Linked DNA regions of Saccharomyces cerevisiae S288C. The gene in region 1 interacts genetically with each later gene. Each region holds a gene or a part of one and is shown in the gene's direction. Other genes may lie near its edges.

Region 1 (6,209 bases):
ATTGTTTTGATGATACGGTTGATGACTTTGGTTGTGGAAATGATTGCGAAGAGTAGTAATTGTTTAAAGAGGGCATCCTTGATATAAATCTGTACAAGTTTTGTCTTTCCAAGCAACCAGGTATAGCGGAAAGAGAATTCATCACAGTGGAATGTAGTGACAGTGTTGACCTCGACGACACAATGCTTGAAAGACGTAGCATGTTTATTGGAGAAAGCTCTTGAAAATCTGATCCGTCCAAGATTACATTCCTAGACATTGTAGTTTGTTGATGATGATGCTCTCTTTTACCAGGGATGGTACTGGTGCTCTCGCCGCGATTGGTGAACCAGTTCTGTGACGTGTTGAAGATCAAAGAAGGAAGAACATCCTTGAACACTACATGCATGGACTCTTTTAGCCTTCTCTCAATGGTGCTTTGGAGAATTTTTACAGAACAATCAAACTTAAAATCCAAATCAACGTCATTAAAGGATATCCCAATTCCAGGGTTCTTTACAAAAATATTCGTGATGGCTTCTAGCTCGATGGAACTGAACGTCATAGTTATAGGAATTGTGAACGATCCATTATTGATGAGCTGGGGCATGGTAAAGCTGGGTGTATCCTGTTCGTTAATCAATAAAAGATTCGACTCTATGACTGTCTGTATCCGCAACATAGCATCCTTACATGAAATCTTGCAAATCCCCTTGGCCAGAGACTTGGGCTGCGTGATAATGTCTAGGTCCAGAATTTCTAGCTGTGGTATTGTAGGAAAATCCACCTTCTGTACCTTAATTCCGCTTTTCAAGATATCTAATTTCTTTTTAGACGGTGAGTTCAAAGCCGTAGATAACTTTTCCCGTATTCGTTCATTGAAAGAGTTATCACCAAACACAGCTTCGTTGAATCTAAATGACATGACGATGCTGAAGTTTCTTGCAGTTGTGTTTTTTTTGTTATAATTGTTACTGTTTCTATGTTTTACGAATCTTCCATGACTCTTCTAATTGGTCTCTTTTTACTACAAGGCTTCATGGCCCTTTTTCAAACCTAATTTATAAGTTCTTTGCCCTATGCTTAAAACAGTTTAGCCCTATTTAATATAGTACAAAAAAGGAAAAACCTAATTGAAAAAAGCTATTCACCCTAGGTCATTACTACTTTTTCCCTTAGCTAGCCGTGTTTTTAGTTTTTGTTTTGTTTATTTTACCTGTATTATGCCTTGTTTGATGACTTTAGTATGGGTTTGGTTTGTCTTATCCTTGGATACAAAAGGACCAGATACATTCACGTCTGGTCGGTAGAACATCGGTATCCAGTATAGTGTTCAGCTGTTCCTATAGAGACAAAATTTATAATCTGCGTGTAACAAATATCTGCAGGTTAAAAAAGTCCAGATCAGTGTTTCGAAGCTGTTGATTTTTCTTTTTTTTTTTTTATATTAAAATTTTCATATTCCCTGATTGCATCGTTTATCTGATTATCATTTCATTGCATTCTTTAACTACTTGAGTTTTCTTTCCAGCTGTATACTATTGACACTAACATGAACGTGCCTGAAACAAGACAATCCTCCATAGTCGTAGCTATAAGAGTAAGGCCCTTTACGTCAATGGAAAAAACAAGATTGGTCAATGAAGCTAGTGGTGCAGAAGCTAACTTTCCCGGTTTGGGGGATTCGTCGTTAATATTACCCATGAGTAATAACTCCGACTCCGATATAGACATAGACGCTGAAGAAGGTTCTACGCGGAGCAAAAGAAATAGCTTGCTGAGGAGAAAAGTAATTAGACCGGAGGGTATACGTAAAATTGTGGATTGTGTGGATGATAGAATGCTCATATTCGACCCAGCTGATAGAAACCCATTGAACAAAGTGAGTGATCAGGTCCTGAACTCGATGCGTGCAAGGGCCACTAAGGCCACTGCGTCCTCTATCAATAACAGCAATGCTACGAACAAATTTTCTTCGCAACGTCGAAGGCACGGTGGCGAAATCAAGTTTGTATTTGATAAATTGTTTGATGAAACCTCTTCCCAAGCCCGTGTATACAAAGAGACCACCAGCCCGCTCCTAGATTCTGTTTTAGATGGATTCAACAGTACCGTATTTGCTTACGGTGCTACTGGTTGTGGCAAGACATATACTGTGAGTGGCACACCTTCACAGCCGGGGATCATATTTCTAGCCATGGAGGAACTATTCAATAAAATTACAGACCTGAAGGACGAAAAAGACTTCGAGATTTCACTGTCTTACTTGGAAATATACAATGAAAGAATCAGAGACCTTTTGAAACCAGAGACACCATCTAAAAGATTGGTCATTAGAGAAGATACGCAGAACCACATCAAAGTGGCGAATTTGTCGTATCACCACCCAAATACGGTAGAAGATGTGATGGACTTAGTTGTCCAGGGAAACATAAACAGGACTACGTCACCGACGGAAGCAAACGAAGTATCTTCACGATCTCATGCAGTGCTGCAAATACACATCATGCAGACAAATAAGCTTGTAGACTTGACCTCGCAACATACATTTGCTACACTTTCAATAATCGATCTAGCTGGGAGCGAAAGAGCCGCCGCAACAAGAAACCGTGGTATAAGATTACACGAAGGTGCGAATATAAATAGATCCCTACTAGCACTGGGCAATTGCATTAACGCGTTGTGCTTGAATGATGGCAGCAGAAGCTGTCATATTCCATACAGGGATTCCAAGTTAACTAGGCTGTTGAAATTTTCACTGGGTGGCAATTGCAAAACAGTCATGATTGTTTGCATATCGCCCAGCAGTTCACATTATGATGAGACATTGAATACTTTGAAATATGCAAATCGTGCTAAAGAAATAAAGACCAAAATAATCAGAAATCAGCAGTCTTTGAGTAGACACGTTGGATCTTATTTGAAAATGATTACGGAACAAAAGCGACAAATCGAAGAGTTACGCGAACGTGAAGAGAAGATGATTTCTTTGAAGCTAACGAAATACAAACTAAACAAAGAAAAGATCCAGTTAGCCATTAACGAGTGCGTCAATCGTGTTCAGCAAACGTATGCAGGAGTGGAAACGTATCAAGTAGCCAAGACCTTGAAATCATTAATACTTTGTAAAAGGCGGTTTTTGCAAATGGTCAAGCTAGAAGTGGATAATTTGATACTATTATTTGAACGGGAGGAAAGTACAGCCGCCGAGATGCAGCCGGTGATTAGTAATTGCCGAATGATCAGTGGTCAGCTTTATAACAAAATACACGAGTTAGAAATGAAATTTGATGAAACCGACACTCTGAGTTCCGTCATTCATCAGGTACATTCCATTGACTTGAACAAGTTAAGAGAGATGGAGGACTGGGATGAAACTTACGACCTGGTGTACTTGGAGTCGTGTTTAAATCAAATATCAGAATTACAAAGAAACGAAATCTTGGTTAATTCCTCCATAATGACAGAAAAATTAATGTCAGATCCGGGTTTGAACTCCCGATTTAAATTTCTATCAAAGTGGCTGATGAATAGGACACCTAACATTGAATCCATAATTCAAGACCTGGTTCATATCGACGAGGAGTTTGAATCTTTTGCCAGAACTTTTATCGCCAATCCCGATAGCAATTTTACAAACACAAATATAAATATAATAAACACGACGGCAGCTGACTTGGCTGTTCCCGCTGAGACCCTACAACGGCAAAATTTTTCCCAAAAAAAAGTAAAGTGGACGAGTCCCGACCTTAGTCCCAGCCCTATGATTGAACCACAACCGGAGCTAGAACCAGAACTACACCAAGATCAAGACGCCATTGCAAGTGAAGTGGACGTAAGTATGCAAGATACCACATTCAATGAGCAGGGGCCCTCGACCCCCTCCGCTCCGACTACAGCGGTTCCAAGAAGGAAGATGCGCTCCTCCCTTCTTACTCATCAAAGTCTACTGGCCACTGCCAGGAAATAACATACATATCCTACGTAAACTATCGAATATAACTTCTTTCCGCCAGCATTAAACGCATTTATGTTGATTAATTCCGGGTTACGGGAAAAATTTTTCTTTAATTTCTTTTTTTTGAATTTATTTGGCACGAGAAAAGGTTCAAAGTGAATAATTGCTTTTAGTCATTAGACACATTACCTACTTTCTAAGAGATTCTAAAAGAAACTAAGCACCACAAATCATTGATCTTTTAAGAAAAACGCACAAGGATCATATACTAGATTCTCGTTCTCGTTTTTTCTTCCTTTTTTTTTTCTCTAAAGCCTTTTACTGGGTTAATTTCCTTTATTGACCCAAATTAAAAGAAAACGTTTCTCAGGAGACTCTTTTAAGCAAAATTTAGCAAATTTGTGTTTGCTGTTGTTTTTACAGAGACTGCATTACTTGAAGGTTTGCCTTTAAGTCTTCGAGTCGTTTTTTTTTATTAACTTTAATCCTTTTTCTGTGTGTTTGTGTATATTCAGTGGGGTTATTTTACAGTATTCGAAGAGACTTCGTTTCACACATTTAAACCAGCTTTATTAGCGTTTAGCTTATACACTACAAGGAATTTTTTTTTTCTTTAACATTATTAAGACAGTTATTGAGTTAATTCGTCTTCAGCCCCCCTCCCCCCAACAAACCCCCCTTCATATAGAAATGGCTAATACTTTCAAGTATTATCCTGAAACGATGGGTAATTCTAGTGGTTATCCAATTAGTTTGCCTTTTCCGAAAGGTTCGGCTACTTCTGCTGTTAATGTTGCTAGGCAACTGCCTAAATATTTAGGTCATGTTCCCTCGCAATCAGTTCATACTCAGTTGCCATCCATGGCTTCTTTAGGTTACTTCAATCAGCCAAGTTCTACTTACTATGCTCCTCCTGCACCACTTCAACAGCACCAGCAACCACCTATCCTTCCCCCTCCGGGCCTAATGTACACTAGTAACAATAACAGCAACGTTATTCCTCCTCCTGTTCAAATGATTCGGGATGGACAACAACAACCACAACAATCTAACCAAGTAAATGGGGGCGTCAGTGAGAACTTGGACTACGATATTTCTATAATGTCAAAATTTATCATGGAAAATGCCTTTGTTGCCTTCAACGCGAACTATAGTACTGATGACCAGACCACTGATCTTTTTTTCAAGGGCATATCTTCTGTGTTGAATGCCACGAGATTGCCTTCAGCTACTATTTTTTTGGCTATAGATTATCTTTTCAAGTATATCAATAAATTATCTAATGGGATACATTCAATTGGTGGCAATTCGATCAATATCATTTATCAAAATACTATGATTGCGTTCATATTAGCAAACAAGTTCAACGATGACAAAACTTTCACCAATAACTCATGGTCACAGGCAACAGGAATACTGATAAATGTTATCAATGATTTCGAGAGACAATGGTTGAGAATATTTAACTGGGAATTGTATGATAGTGCTTTTCTTTATTTTGAGTTCGTCAAGAATTTTGAGATTTTCAAGCAAAATCAACTCAAACCTGCTGTAGCGGTTCCTACGTTATTATCTCCAATTGTCAACGTTGGTGATACGAGAAACGTAAATTTCAACTTGAAGCCTACTTCCACAAACAACCTATTATCTCCAGTTTCCAATTATGAAACCCCCATGCTGATGCCGCATAACATGTTTTCATCACCATCTTATCAGAGTAACTCAAGGTCTGAATTTTCTAGTATGAATGGTTATTATAACTATTACAACTATAATCAGCCAAGATTGAATTACTATCAACAATTCCCCAATATATATTCTTCACCAATTTCGGAAACTCAGTTTGATTACGACTTCTACAATTTCAGTAGTCAACAACAACAGCAACAACAAAAACAACACTCACTTTTACCTGCCGCTCCACAATTACCTCCCCCTCACGTCCATAATCAGTCTTACGGTCATCATCTTGGCTGGAAGTCAATGGATGACACAATAAATCATTCAAGATTTGAGCGAAACTACTTTCCGTATTCGGCAGTGTATTAGTGAAAACTTTTTTTTCCTTATTTTTTCTTTGATCCCATCGAATTACTTTCTCTTTTGCCCAGGATCATCTTTCTAATCTATCATTTTATTATTTTCTCTCATGAGAAAACAGAATTTCGAAACAGATATAATAAAAAAATTGAAAAATTTGAAAAAAAAAAATCTAGAAACATATTTTCCTAAAATGAAAATCGGAAGCTAACAAAATTTTTGAAAAACGAAA
Region 2 (3,125 bases), on another chromosome or scaffold:
AGTTATGTGATGGATGCATTTTTCTACAACATCGTGGACAAGATGCAGCTGGTATAGCTACCTGTGGTTCTCGTGGTAGAATCTACCAATGTAAAGGTAATGGTATGGCTCGTGACGTATTTACCCAACAACGTGTTTCCGGTCTTGCTGGTTCCATGGGTATTGCCCACTTGAGATATCCTACAGCCGGGTCTTCGGCTAATTCAGAAGCGCAACCATTTTACGTCAATAGTCCTTACGGTATTAACTTGGCACATAACGGTAACTTGGTGAATACTGCATCATTGAAGAGATATATGGATGAAGACGTTCATAGACATATTAACACGGACAGTGATTCGGAGTTACTATTGAATATTTTTGCTGCTGAACTGGAAAAACATAACAAGTACAGAGTTAACAATGAAGATGTTTTCCACGCGTTAGAAGGTGTTTACCGTTTATGCCGTGGCGGTTATGCTTGCGTTGGTTTACTTGCCGGTTTTGCATTATTTGGTTTCAGAGATCCAAATGGTATTAGGCCATTATTGTTCGGTGAAAGAGAAAATCCGGACGGCACTAAGGACTATATGTTAGCTTCAGAAAGTGTTGTTTTCAAAGCTCACAACTTTACTAAATATCGTGACTTAAAGCCTGGCGAGGCAGTTATCATCCCTAAGAACTGTAGCAAAGGTGAACCTGAGTTCAAACAAGTGGTTCCTATTAACTCTTATAGACCTGATTTATTTGAATACGTATATTTCGCCAGACCGGACAGTGTCTTGGATGGAATATCAGTTTATCACACAAGATTGGCTATGGGTTCTAAATTAGCGGAAAATATTCTAAAGCAACTGAAGCCAGAAGATATTGATGTTGTTATTCCCGTCCCAGATACTGCAAGAACATGTGCACTAGAATGTGCTAATGTGTTAGGGAAGCCTTATAGAGAGGGCTTTGTTAAAAACAGATACGTGGGCAGGACATTTATCATGCCAAACCAGAGGGAAAGGGTTTCTTCAGTAAGGAGGAAGCTTAACCCTATGGAGTCTGAATTTAAGGGTAAGAAGGTTCTGATAGTGGATGATTCTATTGTCAGAGGTACTACTTCAAAAGAGATTGTTAACATGGCCAAGGAATCCGGTGCAACAAAGGTTTACTTCGCTTCAGCTGCCCCAGCCATTCGTTACAACCATATTTATGGTATTGACTTAACAGACACAAAGAACTTGATTGCTTATAACAGAACCGATGAAGAAGTGGCGGAAGTAATCGGTTGTGAAAGAGTCATTTACCAATCATTGGAAGATTTGATTGATTGTTGTAAAACTGATAAAATAACCAAATTCGAAGATGGTGTATTTACCGGAAATTATGTCACTGGTGTTGAAGACGGTTATATTCAAGAATTGGAAGAAAAACGTGAATCGATCGCAAATAATTCATCAGATATGAAGGCTGAAGTCGATATCGGATTATATAATTGTGCAGATTATTGATAGATTGTTCCGAACTTGTTCAGTTGTATGTAAAATAGTTTCCAAATGCGCCCATTTATACATAATTATCTTTGTATTCTGACCTAAACTAAATATATATATATATATGCACGTATTAAAAAAAAAAATAAAAGCAAAAAGGTAAACAAAGAGAAGTAATCCGCAACTTGTACAAAAAGAAAAGAAGATAAAAGAATTGTATGTATTAATGGATAATTGTAATGCCTGGGACAAATTATTGTCTCAGAATGAATCCACAATCAACAGCACAGAGACTGCTACGATAACAGCAATCATATATTCCCCATCAAGTAAAACACTGCATCAATTTATAAATATCTGTTTTCCAGAGGGAAGCAATTCAATACTGGATACCACTTTGATTAATTACGCCACCATAGGATGGACCAACGACTTAAAGGAAAATTATTCTGTCGATGTTTACACGCTAATAAGAAACACTGACGATGCACTAGATCTTCTAAAGCCGTTTTTACAAGAACATAGTTCGAAGGTTCGCTGGCTCATATTATTAGATTGGACACTGAACGACCAAAAGTTGTGGCTGAATGAACTATCCTACGCATTCAATAAAATTAAGCAACTGAATGACGATAATGAATTTTCTGTATGGTGCTTAAACAGTGGCGAAATATTAAACTTACAAAGACACACTACAGTATGGCAGTCAGTACATATTGACTTCATTTTGCAAACGTTAAGATCGTTTTGCTATTTTAATGATAGCTCACTATTCTATATATGCGAAGACCATACCGAAGAGAAACGAGAGGAAGCACAAAGGCTTAAATACCAAGAGCTTCTAAAGCATTTTTGTGAAGATAGAGATATGAAAGATCATATTGAAATGGTCAAACGCAGTGAGATATTAATACCGAAGGGGTGCGATTCTATTGGATTGATAAAAACAGTAGACGAAAGATTTGAGCCTACTGAGGTGAAAGAGCAACACTTTTTGGCCCGATATATGGACTTTATACCAACAATTGATAAAATCAGAGAAGATAGGAAAACAACCTCTGGTATCGACCTTGATAAACTATATCCTTTAGAAGTTTTCAAAGTTAATATTCAAGAGGAATTAGGCAAAATGTTCGCAAAATATAGGGAAAATTCGAGGATTTAGGAAAGTGGGCAGGCGATACTTCTTTTATCATGAGCAATTTTTTTCTCTTTATATGTATAAATATAGATATGCACACGCATTTATAAATCCCTATATCAGGGTTGGATTTCTTCTATGTTTATGTATGTAAAAGAAAGAATTCACATGTGATAAATTGTGGAATCAGCACATAGTTCTTGAACCAGCTCAGAGTCTGTGTCGTACCCGACATAAGCTACGTAGCCAGGTTCACCTTTATCTTCGTGAATTGGGTAGTGGACGGGTGGAACATTATCATTCTCGATGATACAGAACGAGAGATGTTCATCATTTGGTTCATAATCTCTAGTGATTCTCTTTACTATAGTTTTATATTCGCCTCTTTTGTCACAACTTGGCCCACCACGTGCCCAAAGCTTGATTACTGAGCCAGACTGGGGTTCTTTGATTGGGGTACAATGGAACCATTCATAGTTAATTCTTGTACCATACTTGAAGTATTCAACCGCAGCGATCAGCAA
Region 3 (4,593 bases), on another chromosome or scaffold:
AAAACATTGAACAATGGCGACAGCTAATAAGAGATGAAATTTATTTAAGTATCTATAATACCAGTGGTAATGCAATAAAGGAATACGAGTTAAAGTACAAACTACCTACCAATGACAAAGTCAATTTGGAGTTACGGAAAAATAATATTACATTGGATTTTTATAAGATAATACTAAACTTATTGTCTAATCTAATTAATATTAAAGGTAAAAGGGACAAATATAACTCAGAGCTAGCTTACGAAATAATTTCAGTAGGTTCCGGTGTTACTGAACTCCTTAAGCTATGGAACCGAGCCAAAGTCACTTCGGCTAATGAACATACAAGCGCTGTTTGACAACAGATGACCAAGTTCGTTGCATCCCTCTTTATTTCGTTTTTTTAGTTTGATATTATAGTACTTGTATATATACATTTTTTCTTCTTTACGTCTAAAGATTTAGTTATACCCACTCCGCTTCCACTTGAGCTTTTTGGAATGTGTAGTCATTTCTATTGATGGTCACCACACCATCTTTCAGACTACATTTCCATCTCGCCTTTGTTCTTGTGACTTTATCATATAAGCACAGCATTAAGTTCTCATCTGGCCCATCCTCTTCACCCTCCGAAATTAGATAGTCATCGTCGGAATCATCTAGTTCTGAACCGACCTCATCCGTATCTAATAATGCACTTCTTTTTTCCTTCTTCGCTTGTAATTTTACTTGTTCTATCTGCTCCTTTTCCTTGCGGGTTTTTTCCACGTCCTCCTCCTTTTCCTCGTCGTCTTTCTTCTCACTTTCATCATCTATGTTTTCGACGGTAGTTATATTGGCATTATTAATAGTAAGTTCTATTTCCGGTTTTACTTCAATTTTAGGCTGGCTAGTTACGTCCGCATTTGTATTACCACTAGTATTTGTGTTCAAGGTAGCACCTGAATTATTAGTTGCTTCTACCGTATTCGTATTAATATTGGTCTCTCCAGAGTGCGGTATGTTGTTGTTGGAATTGATATTTGGCAAAATTAGACCTTCATTACCGGTATTCTCCTCCTTAATATTGAACTCGCTAGAATTTACGCCGGGGGTAGCAAGATTGAAATTTAAGTCGTTCTGTACACCATTGATATTTCCTTCATTGAACTGATTGTCCCATGAAAAAGTAGTTACCTTCGTCTCTGTGAGCTTTTTTTGCCAAATATTTTTTAGGTCTTGTAAAGTTTGTTCATCGATACCCGCATTTTCAAAGTCCTCTCTTACTTCATTTACCACAGACTCTACGATAATCTCGTACACTCTGCTGGCCTCTGCATTCGACATGATATCCAACGATGTCCCTTGTGTATGGCCTTGATTTGTGTGATACTATCGCTTTTCTTCTTTGAGCTTGCCCCCGATAATATGCCGTATGGCTTTATCCACCTTGTTATTTGGCTTCTTCATCTTTTCTTCAACTGTCTCACATCATACTTGACGAAGCTTTTTTTCGCGTTAATTTATATTCTTTATTTATTTATTTATAATTCAGAGTGTACGATGAGTTCCTCTTTAATGGTTCATTTGAAGGACACTAACTAAAAAGAGCATCATTGGTGTCAAGGGGCACCCAGTTAAAAAAGGTTTTGAGCACATATCGTAATTCATGAACGAAGTTCCTACCACTCCAGTTAGGCTTATTTTAGGGCAAGCTCAGCAACGCGAGCAGAATTCAGAAAACTGTTCGCAAGAACGTAACCCACGCACGTTTAATTCCGAACCGGATTCCAGCTTTAACTCTCCTGGTTCCTCCCAGTTCGTGATACATCCTCATGAACCGCTCGAGAAGGAGAAAGATGAGAAGCAGGATTTAGACCGCTCGATTGATTACGGTAGGTCATCAGCTCTTAACAACAAGAATAATGCCAATCCATTAGAGAATATAGACATAAATAAAATGTTTGATGACAAAAAATCAGATTCAGGTACCAATGATGATAAAGGAGGCGCAAGTACTAGTGATAAGCATGTCCTTGCATTGAATTATTCACCGATCAGAGTTGAAATGAACTCCTCAGAGAAACGAAGCGACAAAAACGTGGACGTAGATGAAAATGATAAAGAAGGTAGCCATATTAATAAAAAATTGAAATTGCAGTTAGAATCAGTACCTGATTTGAAACAAAGCTCTACTAAAGATATCATTAATGACAAAGAAGAAATTATGTCGTCTCCAATGGCGATTGATATGATTGAGACCAACATAAGCCCAAATAAATTCATAATAAACGACGGAGTTGAAAGAAACGATAGTTTCAATATCAATACCGACACACTTAAATTAGAAAATGATATAAATGAGAAACAACAAGAGGAAGACTTCATAAAATCTAACAGTAACAATGTGGTTAATATTGACAATGCTTATAAGGAAAAGGAGGACGAAGAAAATGATATAACAAATTCTCATATAAACAGGCTTACTCCTTTGTATGAGACTTCTGCAAGGGAGTCGAACTCAAATGAAGAGGGGAGGAATGACTACGATGATGACAACCAACTTGATATTAGACATGACAATTTTCAGATTGTAGCAAAAAGAAACGAGGAGCTCACTGATCAGATATATCACTTAAATCAAATGTTAAACTCTTTGATTTCCAAAAATGAATCATTGTCTTTTCAATACGAGAAATTGAACAAAAATCACCAACTACTAATAGATTTGACAAATGAAAAGTTAGATAAACTAAATACAGAAAGAGAGAGCGATATTGCCAAGGTGGAAAAATTCAAAAAGAGGATTAAGGAGTTGAATACAGAAATTAAGGTATTGAATTCCAACCAAAAAATATTACAAGAAAAATTCGATGCCTCAATTACTGAAGTAAATCATATAAAGGGCGAACATGAAAATACTGTCAACACTTTGCAGCAAAATGAGAAAATTTTAAATGATAAAAATGTAGAACTGGAAAATATGAAAGCAGAATTGAAAGGCAATAATGATAAATTATCCGAATATGAGACCACGTTAAATGACTTGAATTCTCGCATTGTGCAACTGAATGATAAGATTGAAAGCACAGATATTGTTTTGAAATCTAAAGAGAACGAACTAGATAATTTAAAATTGAGTTTGAAGGAAACTTTATCGATTTCTAAGGACTTCAACGACTCTGACCTTATAGGACAAATTAATGAGCTAATATCTACAAAAAACAACTTGCAACAAAAAATGGATGATTTGAATAACCTGAACGACGATAATTTGAAGGTAGTACAGGATAAATTAATTAAAAATGAGGAGACGCTAAAACTAAAAGAAGCTGAAATTGATTCATTGAATAGTGAAATGGACGAGCTAAAAAAACAGATCACTTCAAAAGATGATGAATTTAAGATGTGGCAAAGTAAATACGAAACTGTCGAAGACGAAGCTAAGATACGCAATGCCGAAGTTACAGAGTTGAACGGAGATATTGAAGATCTAAAGGAATCAAAATTGCATTTGGAAGAAACAATTACGGAACTAGAAAACAAAGTTCATAAACTAGAAAATGAGTGTGAACTGGAGAAACAAAAATTCGAAAAAACTTCGCTAGAATTAGAAAGCTTACAACTAAAAAATAGTAACATTCAGGCTGAGCACATCAAAGAATTGGAAAATCTTCATGAAAACCTTATTTCTCTTCAAAATGAATTGAAGATTTCATCCGACAGGATAACAACATTAACAAAAGAAAATGAAGTATTAATGGAACAAAATAATAATAACAATAATAGCGTTACTTTAAGCAATGATCAAAAGGATAGAGATGATGAAAAAATTAAATCATTAGGAAAACAAGTACAAGATTGGAAAGAAAAGTATGAGGCCAAAGAAAAAGATACAAATAAAAGGCTAAAGTTATTAGCAGAAGATTTGTATATCCAGTATTCATCCAAACACGAACAAAAGGTCAAACTGTTGAAAAAAGGCTATGAAAACAAGTACCAAAATAAGTTTGATCAATTAAATTTAGAAAATAAAACTCTGTCAGAAGAAATCGAGCAATTGAACAAGCAGCTGTCTTCAGAAAGAGAAGAAAAGCAGGAGTTACTCAAGTTGTTAGAAAATGAAAAAAAATAAACGCATTTTTTTCTTTTGCATTTTATCTTTTCCCTTAATATGTCATGAGAATAAAATATTAAGGATATACCGTAAATATACAAATTCGTATCGAATATTTGATATTGTTTCCTAACTTTTCTGTGTTAAAAATAAATATGCAAAAACATACTAACCATAAAAATAAATAAAATACAAGATATAAATAAATAATCCAGCAAGCAAAGACATTGCGGTCCATGCCATAATTGTTTTCTTCCAACTATTAGATTTCAGTGTGCATTATTTCATGTTTCTTTTCTTCAAAACGTTCTCAATAAATGCTTCACCAGCCTTATATGACGATCTTACTAGGGGTCCAGATGCACAATACAAGAATCCCATCTCTAAAGCTCTCTCTTTCCAGTAGTCAAACTTTTCGGGTTTCACATATTCTACGACTTTCATATGTCTCTTGGTTGGCCTCATATATTGACCAAATGTAACAACATCACATTGAATATTGCGCAAATCCTTCAAAG

What was found. Genes that interact genetically often act in the same process or in processes that back each other up.
Region 2: mutations in KIP3 (region 1) and DYN3 together harm fitness more than expected from each alone (negative genetic interaction), as found in Saccharomyces cerevisiae (4 studies listed by BioGRID, with this or other methods).
Region 3: mutations in KIP3 (region 1) and SLK19 together harm fitness more than expected from each alone (negative genetic interaction), as found in Saccharomyces cerevisiae (4 studies listed by BioGRID, with this or other methods).

The regions. Positions count from the first base shown.
Region 1 is NC_001139.9:83,354-89,562, forward strand, and holds KIP3 (tubulin-dependent ATPase KIP3), read left to right. Parts: upstream 1-1,531; coding exon 1,532-3,949; downstream 3,950-6,209. Other genes in the region: ERMES complex subunit MDM34, read right to left, coding at 1-904; CLG1 (Clg1p), read left to right, coding at 4,628-5,986.
Region 2 is NC_001145.3:863,912-867,036, reverse strand, and holds DYN3 (dynein light intermediate chain), read left to right. Parts: upstream 1-1,686; coding exon 1,687-2,625; downstream 2,626-3,125. Other genes in the region: ADE4 (amidophosphoribosyltransferase), read left to right, coding at 1-1,478; sphingosine N-acyltransferase subunit LIP1, read right to left, coding at 2,766-3,125. UniProt on the Saccharomyces cerevisiae protein: Component of the cytoplasmic dynein which acts as a motor for the intracellular retrograde motility of vesicles and organelles along microtubules. May play an important role in the proper orientation of the mitotic spindle into the budding daughter cell yeast.
Region 3 is NC_001147.6:711,239-715,831, forward strand, and holds SLK19 (Slk19p), read left to right. Parts: upstream 1-1,627; coding exon 1,628-4,093; downstream 4,094-4,593. Other genes in the region: PEX27 (Pex27p), read left to right, coding at 1-338; TOA1 (transcription initiation factor IIA large subunit), read right to left, coding at 445-1,305; LIP5 (lipoate synthase), read right to left, coding at 4,355-4,593. UniProt on the Saccharomyces cerevisiae protein: Has a role in spindle assembly and stability. Required to ensure a timely exit form mitosis. Essential to maintain pre-anaphase spindle polarity. Associates to the plus ends of the microtubules at the kinetochore and spindle midzone.